Rattus norvegicus: one gene and its partners. The protein of the gene in region 3 binds, or shares a complex with, the protein of the main gene of each other region. Links are inferred from orthologs where the notes say so. Each region holds a gene or a part of one and is shown on either strand. Other genes may lie near its edges.

Region 1 (3,645 bases), on a different chromosome or scaffold from region 3:
CTTTTGACAAGGAAACTTTACAGTGGTTCTCAACCTATGTGTTGTGTCTACTCTCTGGGGGCTTGAATGATCTTTTCACAGGGGTTGCCTAAGACTATCAGAAAACAAATACTTACATTACGATTCATAACAGTAGCAAAAATCACAGTTATGAAGTAGCAGTGAAAATAATTTTATGGTTGGGGGTCACCACAACTTGAGGAATTGCATTAGGAAGGTTAAGAACTTCCTGATAAGTTCTTCACTGATAAAGAGTAGCAAAATTGATACCTTTCCAGCATTACCAAAGAAAAAGAAGGTGGGGCCCAAAGCTGACCATAAGGGATTGGTTCATCCTCAGTGGCCTCCAAGGCTACTAATCTCTGTGTAGCTATCTCATACTGATTTTCTGTGAAGTGAGGCCTTGCTTCCCACAGTAGTAGGACATGCCTTGCATTGTCAGTGCTGATTAAGGAAAGACCCTCTGGTCCAGCTACAGAGTGGAAAAAGTTACAGTGGAGATAACAGTCCTTCTCTTTCTGTTCTCTCTTGTGTTGTAGAGTCGACAATTAGAATCAGAAACTGGTACCACAGAAGAACACAGTCTAAATAAGGAGGCTCGAAAATGGGCCACTCGTGTGGCACGTGAGCACAAAAATATTGTTCATCAGCAGCGGGTAAGTATGATAGCACTCACTGGCTGTGTGCAGCTGAAGTCAGATTGCAGATAGGTTTCTTCCAACCCAATCTTCTTACTGTTTATTTGGGAGCTTCACCTAATGTACCCTGATCACATTCACTTCTCAGTCTTCTCAGGTCCACCTCCTCCAAAGAAAAGAAGAATGAAAAAAGAAAATACCAAGTCTAATTTGCATTACCCATATATTCAACAGAGAATAATCATACTCCTAGTGGTCAGCCGTCCACCCCCACCACACCAGAAGCCATCAACTGTGAAGAGCTGTACTTCAGCTCTTAAAAAGCTCTCAGTTTTTAACACTTCTCTTCAATGACTTCTTGTCTACACCGTTTCTTTTTGGAGGGTTGAAGGATGAAGGTGGGAGAGAGAGGTTGTCACAGAAGCCTTCTATGAGATTTCAAATAGAGTCAAAGAGTTGAATTTTATTTTTATTTGTGTTTGCATGTGCACCATGTGTGTGTGCCTGATATCACAGAAATACAGGTGGACAGTAGCACATGAAACTATGCTTTCTGTAAAGCCATAAAAATTCAATCATTTTCAAAATTTTGCATTAAAATGTAGAATATATATATTTGGCCATGTCTACTCATATTAAAATATAGAAGTCCAGCTTCCTAAGAGAACTCCTGCTTACTTGTGCAAGGCAGTTGACTTGATCACCAATACAGCAAACCAGTGAACAAGCAATATGTACAAGTATCTCTTTAGTAGCCGAGGGCTTTCCCACCCGCACATAAGTTCCCCAAAACAACAACTCTGAGACTTAATTGTATTTATAAATAAATGCTTAGACCGTAAGTTTTGGCCTGTTCTGCTACTAGCTCATAACTTAATTATTATTATTCTGAGTCCCGCCACGTGGCTGGTAACCTGGTCCTGTTTCATGCAACCACCTTCCTCTGTGTCCATCTCCCTGCCTGACTCAATCCCAGAATTCCTCTCTTTCTCTGCTCGATGTCTCACCTTCTAATCCTGCCTCAGTTCATTGGTCAATCAGCTTTTTACTGACAGATGAATGCTTTTACACAGTGCACAAGAGATTATCTCTGCACACATTTGTGTTTTCAAAGAGTCATTAGACAAGTTCTTTGTGTAGTGCCATTTGCTGTTTTAAAAGAAGTTTAAGGGGTTGGGGATTTAGCTCAGTGGTAGAGCGCTTGCCTAGCAAGCGCAAGGCCCTGGGTTCGGTCCCCAGCTCCGAAAAAAAGAAAAAAGAAAAAAAAAAAAGAATTTTAAAAGTCCCAGAAGCAGTAGTATAAGTGCAATGTTGTTGAACTGTTGGGTGTATGCTTTAAAAAGAATGAGATCTGTTTCGAAAATAGCCTACACTTCATAACATCCTGTTTAAAAAAAAAAAAAACAAAAAAACTCAACATCTATCCATTTTTAAAATTCAAGCTATCCATGTCACAATTATGTGATGAAAATAAGGAATATAGATTGTATTATCAATTTCTTGACTTTCTTTTTACTCTCCATCTCCTGTTAGCCTTAGGTCCAAAATATTACATGGAAAATGGATAAGCAAACAGTGAGTGTTTAAATGCCCACAATTCTGTAGCACAATGAAGTCCACCTGGAGTTGTGGACTACTTTACCCAGCGTGTCCTCACTGTCAACCTTACTGTCCTGTGGGTTTCGTCACTGCCATCTCTGTTATCAGATGAGCATCACAGCATCACAGAGCTAGTGTTCACGGAATCCCAACTTTCACTTAATTGTGGCCTTATCGTGCAAAACCAGAACTGGGGAGGCACCAGCTTATGAGCCATGGAAAGGCAGGTCAACCCTGGTGCCGTGTGCAGTACGGCAGGACACAAGAAACCACAGTAAACTTAAGGCTCTGTTCTGCTATGGTTCAGAGGATCCACTGGAGACCTTGAGCTGCACCTCCAGAGGAGGGTGCTGTTACCGCATGCTTTTATAAGTCGTTATCATCAGGGAAGGCTAAGACAAGGACTCTTCCTTGTTTTGCAACTCTCAATTTTTAAAAATTAATGAAATAAAAAATTTTAAAGTAATTATTGCTTTAGCCACTGAACCCTCTGGAATTATGTAAATACTCAAGGAAAGAACATGAAAACAAAAATCTTTATTTTCTTTGATAGGTTCTAAATGAACTAGAATGCCATGGAGTTGCTGTATCAGAACAGAGCCGAGCAGAGCTGGAACAGAAAATAGATGAAGCTAGAGAAAATATCCGTAAAGCTGAGGTAAGACAGCAGGACAGCCGTCAACTGTAGTGTGTCACTCAGTTCCAGGCACAGTGTTACAGTTGTGAAATGAGCCTTTGAAATGAGCTTCTACATGGGTATTAAACTGAAAACAATGAGCCATCTTCATGTCCACAGTCGTATTTCTGTGTACCTGTAGCACTTAGAACAAAAACTCTGAAACCACTGCAAAGATCCACAGTCGTGAAACATTAAAGAGCAAAAGCGAGGCCACAATGCTTACGTTGATTTTAAAGTTTTCACATAGCATTAAATAAGTCAATCAGCTTCCTGGTTGCTGCCGCCGCAGAGAGCTTGTGGGCAGCACCCCGAGAGCAAACTTGAGCCTTGGGACCACAGGTAAGACCAACTTTTCTGCTGCAAGTGACCTGCCTGGTGAACTCGGGACACACAGAGGCAGAATTCCTCTAGGACCGGGCACTCCCTGTGTTTACCGGGAGTCCCACACCTGCGGATCCCGGCCCGCAGCAGCTCTCTGCTCCCAGACCCCGTGGGAGAGAGACCTCACCGCCTGGTCAGGTGGGCACTCCTGAGGCTGCAGAGCGGAAGAGACCACCAACACTGCCCACCCCTGCCCACATCCCTGGCCCAAGAGGAAACTGTATAAGGCCTCTGGGTTCCCGTGGGGGAGGGCCCAGGAGCGGCAGGACCCCTGCGCCTGAGACACCGCCGGAATCTGAAGGAACAGACCGGATAAACAGTTCTCTGCACCCAAATCCCGTGGGAGGG
Region 2 (3,645 bases), on a different chromosome or scaffold from region 3:
TACACGTTAGTTCATTAGTGAACCATACTTGTAAGACCCTTCATTTGGTGAGTTTTAGGCTGTAGTGAAGCAGGTCTGGCCCTGGTCTGTATTTTTGTGTAAATCAACAGGCATTTTGGTGTCTTTCTTGAAGGAGGCTGTGTTCTTCCTAGTCCTGGTTGGGTGTCTGCTCCAGTTGCTCTCTTCCATCACAACTCTTATCCTAAACCTCTCATCTTAAGCACACCTATGTCAGGTGCCCTCTGTCCTGCACTGGGGCCCTGCAGTGTTCACCACTGTAGGGGCTGCAGATAGCGGCTCCATGCTTCTCAAGCACTGTGTGTGGTGTCTCTCCTATGCCTCCTGGAGAGGGGCTCAAGAACCTGCCTTAGAACCAGCTCCCAGGCAACTCGGAAGGTGCTGGCCTGTGCCCACACAATGGAGGCCTTAGTGACCTGTTCATTAGGCCTGAGTGTGGTCCTCAGAAGAGCTGGTTAGGGAGGAGGGAGAGTGGACAAACAGAGCTAGAACTGGTTTGCTCTGATTGGACTAAAGCATGAGGGGACAGGACAATGTGTTGTGTGTGGGTTCCAAGTGGCCTAAGCTGTTGGGTCCCATATATAGATAGTGAGGGGGCCCAGTAAGGGGTCTGGGGATAGAGCAGCACCCTGCCTGATGGGGACAGTGCTGTGGGGTTCCCCAACACAGCTCCTATGGAACAAACAGATGCTAGACTCATGGACGCATATAGCAGTGGTTAGCCACTGTCCACCGACCTGTGCTTCGTAGGAGTCCTGACTGTCTTTTTTCTCAGACGGAACGAGATGTGAGTGTGCGGCAGCGGGCAGTGGACCTGCTCTACGCCATGTGCGACCGAAGCAACGCCCAGCAGATTGTGGCTGAGATGCTGAGCTACCTAGAAACAGCTGACTACTCCATCCGGGAGGAAATTGTGAGTCCTATAACCTGAGGGGCTGTTAAAGCTGCATTCTGGTGGGTGGTTGCTGGGTGGTTTTCAGTGCCTGGCAGGCTTGCATGAGTGTCTGTAGACACTAGATAAAAGATTCCGTGGCATCAGCTTTCTTGTCTAGCCTTCCAGTGTAGACATCTGGCAGTGCAGGGTGTGGCCATCTGTGCCAGGCAATGAGCTAATATTCATTCTCCAAGATACTCTTATATTTTGAACATGAAGATGCTGCTGGTTAGGTTTTCTTGGTGTCATCTGGCATATTAGAGGTTAATGTTTAAGCTGTCATCAGCACTGAGCAGTGTTGGTTTCGAGCGGACTCTGGTCAGTCTGAGTGTCATGCACACCTAACCATTGTTGTAGTCCAGCAAATTGCTTACATGAAACCACTGTGTCTTAGGGAGGAAGGAGGCAAGTGCATGACCACAGACGAGAGGCTCTGGCTTGCCTCACCTGGTATAACACTGGTCTCTCGATGGTGTCTCTGGACCTAGAGTGACAGGCAGTGTGGCACTGGCTGGATTGCTTCACAGGCCCTGCAGCAAGGGTCTGATGGGGAAGGGCTAAGGGCTAGGCGCACACATTGAGTTGTTTCATGACCATGTCTTGCTCCAGGAAAGGCCTGAGATAATTAGAGGTCAGGAAGGCTTCTTGGAGGTGGTAACTAGCTGAGCTATTGACTAGGGCTAGAAGGAGGGGCCACATGGGATTGAAAGCTGCTGCCTCACTCATAGCAGGTGCTGAGTGCGGGGCCCTGGCTACCTAACGAAATCCTGGAGTTTTTTGTTTTGTTGTTCTAGTCTATATTTGTGTGCAGTGTATGGCTTCTGGCATGTGTGTGGACTTATTTTTCCTCCTACATGGGTTCCGGGGACTAAGGTCATCAGACGAGGCAGCAAACATTGTCCCCTGCTGAACCATCTTGCTGTTCTCCTTGAGATGATTTTAAAAGATTACAGTTTTAGAGTTTCTGACTCAAGATTGTGCCTGTGTGGCCAGATACATTGCATGTGACAATAGCAGGGAACAAATGGTGAAGCAGACTGCTCACCCTGTGTCCAGGAGGCAGAGTCCAAGTGAGACCACAGTCCACAGCCCCCTTCAGGGTCTCCTTTCCAGTGACAGCAGGCTCTCCACTGATCCCCTCCTTCAAAGTCACCTCCACCTACTGCGCTGCTCTGGAATTCACGCTTCTAACACTTGGAACATTAGAAAAGTCAAGGTTTGGCTGAGGCAGGCAGTGTGGGCACAGGGGCATTGTGTGTGGGGAAGGGTTGGCCTTGTTTGAGATGTGGCTGGACATGTGGCTTGTAGCTTTGGCCAGGCTCACCCTCACTGGATTGCTCTTGGTGTTTTCAGCAGAGGTGGCAGTGGCATCTGTCAGTGCAGTGTGTTGGTTTGCCCTCTAACCCTTTTTCTTTTCTATTGAAATCAACTTTTTCCCCCACATGATAGAATTTGTTCATGTTTTCTCCCACTCCTGTTCCTCCCAGACCCTTCCCACCTCCCTACTTATCCAAGTATGTTTTGTTTTTTTCCACCTTTTTTATCTTTTATTTTTGAGTTTATAATTACATTTTTTCCTTTCCTCCTCAGCCTGCCCACATACCCCTCCCCATTCTTCAAATTAACCGCCTCTTTTTTTTATTAATTGCTAATGCATTTATATGTGTATATAGATCCATAACCTTTCTAAATAAATCCTGTTAAGTCCATATCATGTTGCTTGTATGTTTTCAGGGCTGCCCCTTCTGCACTGAACAGCAGATTGGTGTGCTCCTCCTGGGGAGGACTGCCTCTCCCACTCCCAGCTCCTCCTGGGGAGGACTGCCTCTCCCACTCCCAGCTCCTCCCGGGGAGGACTGCCTCTCCCACTCCCAGCTCCTCCCGGGGAGGACTGCCTCTCCCACTCCCAGCTCCTCCCGGGGAGGACTGCCTCTCCCACTCCCAGCTCCTCCTGGGGAGGACTGCCTCTCCCACTCCCAGCTCCTCCTGGGGAGGTTGCCTCCCCCATTTCCAGTTTTCCTCAGTTGCCTATAGTTCTTTGTGTAGGGTTGAGACCTTGCGGGCTTTTCTTGTCCTGTTTGTTATGTCTTTAGTGCCAGCCTTGTTCAGCTCACATTTGGGTGGTCTTGGTGAGATGTGATGGGGCAGCTTCTGACATTCCTGGGAGACAAACTCCGGATCCTCTGGCTCTCACCATCTTTTCTCTCCTGCAGTGCCCTCTTGAGTCAGCAGGACTGAAGCTTCTAGTTAGGTATCAGCTCGACTTCTCTGTGTTGGAGGAGATGTGTGGACGTTGTCTTCAGCAGTAGGGCCTTACCGTCAGTTGTAGAGAGCAACCAGTAGATATTTGGGGGCTTCCCTTTGGCCAACGGCTCAACAGGATGTAACCCATTTCTGGCACTTGATGGCACAGGATGTCTAGTTGGAGTACTGTCTCCTCTGTTACTTGGGGACTTCATTTAGATTCCTTTTATATGTTGTATTTTCACAAGTGTCTACAGTTATATTTCAGTATGCTTTCTCAAATGCCCTTTAGTGTTAGTTGTCCCTCCCCCTATTTCTTCCTGTACCCTTCCTTCCACCCCTGTCCTGTTTAATTAGCCCTACTTCATTGTCCTCTGTATCTCTTCAAACACTATACTCTTTCCTTTCCGTGGACCCCTGCCTCTCCCTGGTCCTTTGGTGTGATTCAG
Region 3 (4,196 bases):
ATCCAGCAAGACTGTACATTCAAGACTGGTCAAGCTTAGAGGAACCAACTAGGACACAGCGCTTATGACTACTTGGTGATGTGACTAACTTGGCAGGTGAAGACTTAAAACACCAGGATCGCTGCAAAGTGGTTCACCCATTCATTCTGCAACTATCCAAGGGGCACTGGTTCAGTCTCTAGGAAGACCACAGTCAACTCTGCTCTTCTGAAACATTTATCACAACATGTAAAACTCCTGCCACTTGACAAGCTTGCTATCATCCACTTTGGAGACACTCAGTAAGAAAGAAGCACGCCGCCAAGGTTCTCTGAATCTGCCGGCCTGGAGAATTTCCTGGAAACGGTACTGAAAATATACTTCCCACTGTCTGACTCTGAGGTGGAGAGGCAGAGACCTGTTAAGCTGATGTAAAGATATCTGAATGCCAGACTCGGATGGAGCCAGCAAGTGGAGTCATTCAGGAGGGAGTCACTCAAGAGAAGTCTGACATAAACCCAGCCGGTAGTCACAAGTTTAGCAAATTAAAAGGAGGAGACTGTAGCATCTGCCTAGCCTCACAGTCTCCAGGTTCAAACGACAGCACCACACACAAAGACCAGTGTGAGGCTGGGGTTGTAGCTAGGTGCTAGGGCCACACACTTAGCACTCTCCAAGTCCTGGTTCAAACACCAAAAGAGAAAAGGCACTGGCAGAGGAATTTACTAGGGCCTCCCTTTTAATCTCTTCCAAGTGTTTTAAGGGTGTGTCTCAATCTAGGTATTTGGGGAAAGATAAAGAATGCCCACAGGAAAAGGAAACAGCTAGTCACCAGCAAAAGAAAGACAGAAAATGCTGAGGGACAAACATTTCAGGGAACTAACTTGCCACCACTCATTTCATGCCCTATTTCACAATGCTCAGCATCTGAACAATTCACAGGGTTCCAAAGTACATTAGAAATGTGCTCAGTTCCTCTCTTACTCAGGCAGAATAATAATAGTTTTGTGGCAGTACCGCGATCCTCAGCAATTTCAATAACAGACACTTTTTTAAAAAATAAATACCACTTTTTTAAACATGTACTCTCAAAAAGGCTCCTTACTGTGGCTCCTTACACATAGAAGTGTATGGAGTATCTATGCCCTGTCACCAAATCAGTGTCCTTCACTTCTTCATTTAAATCCTTTATAGTTTCCTGACTTCTTTACATGTCTCCTACAGAGAGATGCTGCTTTCTTATAAGTTCTTAGGTCATAAGGAAACTCACACACACATACAAAACATTTCAATCAAACTAGTTTTAAAAAAAAGTTAAGTAGCAAAAATGGTAACCATAATGGTTGTTGAACTGTCTGCACTTTTCACTGTAAACGTCTTCTAAAAATAAAAGTTTTATCCCAACAAACAGATACATCCCTCCAGTTAAGAGCATTTAAAGAAATGCCCTGCCAAGCAGCTGGCCTGTGGGCTCCTGGCCCTAGCTCCTGCCCTCACATCCTGTCCACCACATAATCCATGAGCAAGCCTTTCTCTTCATCAATTCATCGGGATTAGTAAACCGGCCTCCCTGAAAATAGAACTGATATTTTCCACAGGCATGTATTCCTATGCTTTCACTATCTATGCTATCAGACTCTTTCTTTATGCTCTATGTTTCTGACCACGAAGTACCAAATGAAATATACCAACAGATAAGCACAAAAGAACCGTATCTGGCCAGAGTCTGCATGCACTTACATTTCCAGGTTGGTTGTTTTCCGAATAGCAGCGGTGAGGGCAAAGCCGCAAACTTTCACATTCAAGATGCTACCGAATACCTCTACACCCTCAAACTGCAGCAAGAAGCCACTAATCTATTCCTTCAAAAGCAATGTCTGTAGTCTGATTCACAACAATAGATTGCTCATAGGCAAGAGGATCAGCGAAGTTGTCCTCCAAACCAAAGGGAAACAGAAGTGAAGGGAGGTCCAGCCAGCTCATCCTTGCTTTTCTTTTCTTTTTTCTGGGAATCCGGATTGCATTTCCTGGTCCCCCCCCCCCGCCCCCGCCCCCAAGAGGGACCGCAACTGTGCCCTGGGTCCATAGCAGACACCCAAGTCAGTGCGTGCGCACGGAGGGCGAAGCGGCCGACCAGGGGACGCGCGCCCGCTGCAAGGGGAGCCGCTTTCTGTTAAATGCCATCAGAGCCAGCCCCGGCCGCACCACTTCGGCCCGAACGGCATTGACCGCCCTTCACTTGACAGGGTATTCCAAGGAGGCGCCGGAGAAAAAGGATGAGCCGGGGACTCGAGGCCGGGGGCACCCGCGGGCGGCGCGATGCGTCTCCCGCGAGCTCGGGATCCCCGGGAGGCCGGGCCGGCCCCCCACCCTCCGGCGGCCGAGGGCAGAGGGGTCAGCGGTGGAAGGGACCGCCCGCCGCGATGCCCCCTCGGGAGCGCCGGCAGTGGCTGCGGACGCCCATTCACCGGAGCCCGTCCCGCGGCCGCCACCGCCGCGGCCCGCCCGCCCCGCCGCCCCCGGGAGGATGAGAAAGACCAGGCAGAGCGGCGACGGCGGCCGCGGGGACGCGCGCCCGGCCGCTGGACCCGACCCCGGGCGGCCATCGCCGACCCCCGCCCGCGCGCCAGGCCGCCCGCGTCAGCTCCTCACCTCATCTCCGGGCGGGTGCGCGCGGCCGCCCCTCACACAAATCAGTGCAGCCCGCACGCCGCGCGGAGGAACGCAGGGTCCGCAGCCGCGCACACCATCCCCGCCCGCCCGCTCGCCCGCCTGCCTCTCGGCCGTCCCGGAGCCCGCTCGGGATGCTCCCTCGCGAGCCTCCGTACTACGGAGCAACCAAGCTGCGCGCCCTCCCTGTGCCGCTCCACTCCTCTCGCCCTCCGCTCCTTCGCTCCCTCGCTCCCGCCTATCTCCTCATCTCCCTCCGCCGCCGCCCCTCCGCCCACAGCCAGCCCTCCGCTCCACCCATAGATGGGCGGGAATAACCGCCTGCCAATCGGACGGCCGAGACCACGCCTTCTCATTCGTTCGCATGACTCCGCCCACTGGGGAAAAAAGGACTAGCCACAGGAATTGGAGGTGTACAGAGTGGCAGCGAGATAAACCAATTAAGTGGTTCGGGAAGCACCCTTTTTCCTCCCAGTCCTTGTCTCGTCCCATGAAGGCATAACTAGAGGTTTCTGGTCTATGCGTACGGAGATTTTTGTTTCATGATTTGGCGCTTTGCTCTTTTCTATGCGCGACAGTAGCTAGCATACATTTAACTAAATTGAAGGTTTTGCAGAAAGAACGTGGGAACGAGAGGCGACAGAGACAAAGACTGAAGAAAGATGGTAGGGAGTACGGTTGGAATGAGGAAGGGTGTGGCCTTTTACTCTAATTTGCATAAAACGGAACCCATCTCGGCAACGCCCAACTTCTCCCAAGTATTGGTGGTCCCTGGGATGACTCGCCTCTCTACAGGGAGGAGCATGCTGGGAATTGTAGTTCCGGGTTCGGTTGCTATGGCGCTCGTCACAGCCTCCCCCAGATCGGTCATCCTGCGGTAGTGACGGGCAGTCCGACCAATGGCAGTACTGTTTGGACCTACGAAGGCGGGCTCTCTGCAGAAGGACTGGGAAGGTGGCGGCGGCGAAGGCGCTGGCGGTTGAGGTTGCTCCAAGCCAGGTGAGCCAGGGAAGAACGATATGTGTCTCGTGAAATGGGACTTTGGGCAAAAGATGGAGAAACGTCTGAAGGAGTTGTCTAACCTTGGGGAGATTGGTGCTTCGCATCACACGCCGACCTCAGAGCTGCTCCTGCTCTGGCCTAGCTTGGCTGAGGCCGCTGAGGGGCGGGTAATACTAGATTTGACGGACAGTTCCTGACACTGGCTAGGTTTGGATTGTGGGTCTTTGCTTCATCCTCCGCGTTTATGTAGACAAAGGTCTAGAATTGCCTTTCTCTCAGTTGAGTCCTCCCCACCCCAGCTTCTCCCTACCACTGTTTCTGATGCTGTCTCCGTTACTACTTCCCTTGTCACCCTTCTTACCCTTTTCTTGGCATTTCCAATAAGCGGTTTCCTAAAGCAAGCAAGGACGGGTGTTCACAGTAATGGGGCCTTGGGTCAGGAATTGCCTGCTTCATCCAGTAGTCCATACTTGAGCCATACTAAAGAATTATCCCAGGGTCATGAGGAGGCTCAGATACTGATTCTGGATTTGGGCCTGATGGTC

Evidence for each region.
Region 1: the proteins of Itsn1 (region 3) and Fchsd2 are in contact, whole or in part, in a crystal structure (PDB 6GBU), measured with the Homo sapiens proteins. The link is inferred for Rattus norvegicus from reciprocal best matches to the Homo sapiens genes ITSN1 and FCHSD2. Residues at the interface, in NP_003015.2 of Homo sapiens: Pro1076, Ile1078, Gly1098, Leu1100, Leu1102, Gln1117, Ala1118, Arg1119, Gly1120, Lys1121, Lys1122, Arg1123, Leu1136, Ser1137, Pro1138; in NP_055639.2 of Homo sapiens: Tyr576, Gln581, Thr582, Asp584, Glu585, Gln602, Asp603, Asp604, Asp605, Gly606, Phe607, Val618, Pro620, Val622, Leu623.
Region 2: the proteins of Itsn1 (region 3) and Ap2a2 are in contact, whole or in part, in a crystal structure (PDB 3HS8), measured with the Mus musculus proteins. The link is inferred for Rattus norvegicus from reciprocal best matches to the Homo sapiens genes ITSN1 and AP2A2. Residues at the interface, in NP_034717.2 of Mus musculus: Asn841, Trp843, Ala844, Phe846, Ser847, Ser848; in XP_006536218.1 of Mus musculus: Glu308, Gly320, Val321, Glu324, Gln329, Gly331, Leu332, Lys333, Phe346, Gly348, Asn349, Lys350, Gly386, Ala387, Gln388.

What each region holds. Positions count from the first base shown.
Region 1 is NC_086019.1:165,052,300-165,055,944, forward strand, and holds part of Fchsd2 (F-BAR and double SH3 domains protein 2), read left to right. Parts: intron 1-539; coding exon 540-656; intron 657-2,790; coding exon 2,791-2,895; intron 2,896-3,645. UniProt on the Homo sapiens protein: Adapter protein that plays a role in endocytosis via clathrin-coated pits. Contributes to the internalization of cell surface receptors, such as integrin ITGB1 and transferrin receptor.
Region 2 is NC_086019.1:206,137,389-206,141,033, forward strand, and holds part of Ap2a2 (AP-2 complex subunit alpha-2), read left to right. Parts: intron 1-793; coding exon 794-931; intron 932-3,645. UniProt on the Homo sapiens protein: Component of the adaptor protein complex 2 (AP-2). Adaptor protein complexes function in protein transport via transport vesicles in different membrane traffic pathways.
Region 3 is NC_086029.1:44,463,215-44,467,410, reverse strand, and holds the start of Itsn1 (intersectin-1), read right to left. Parts: upstream 2,865-4,196; 5' UTR 2,632-2,864; intron 1,978-2,631; exon of another isoform or gene 1,720-1,977; intron 1-1,719. UniProt on the Homo sapiens protein: Adapter protein that provides a link between the endocytic membrane traffic and the actin assembly machinery. Acts as a guanine nucleotide exchange factor (GEF) for CDC42, and thereby stimulates actin nucleation mediated by WASL and the ARP2/3 complex.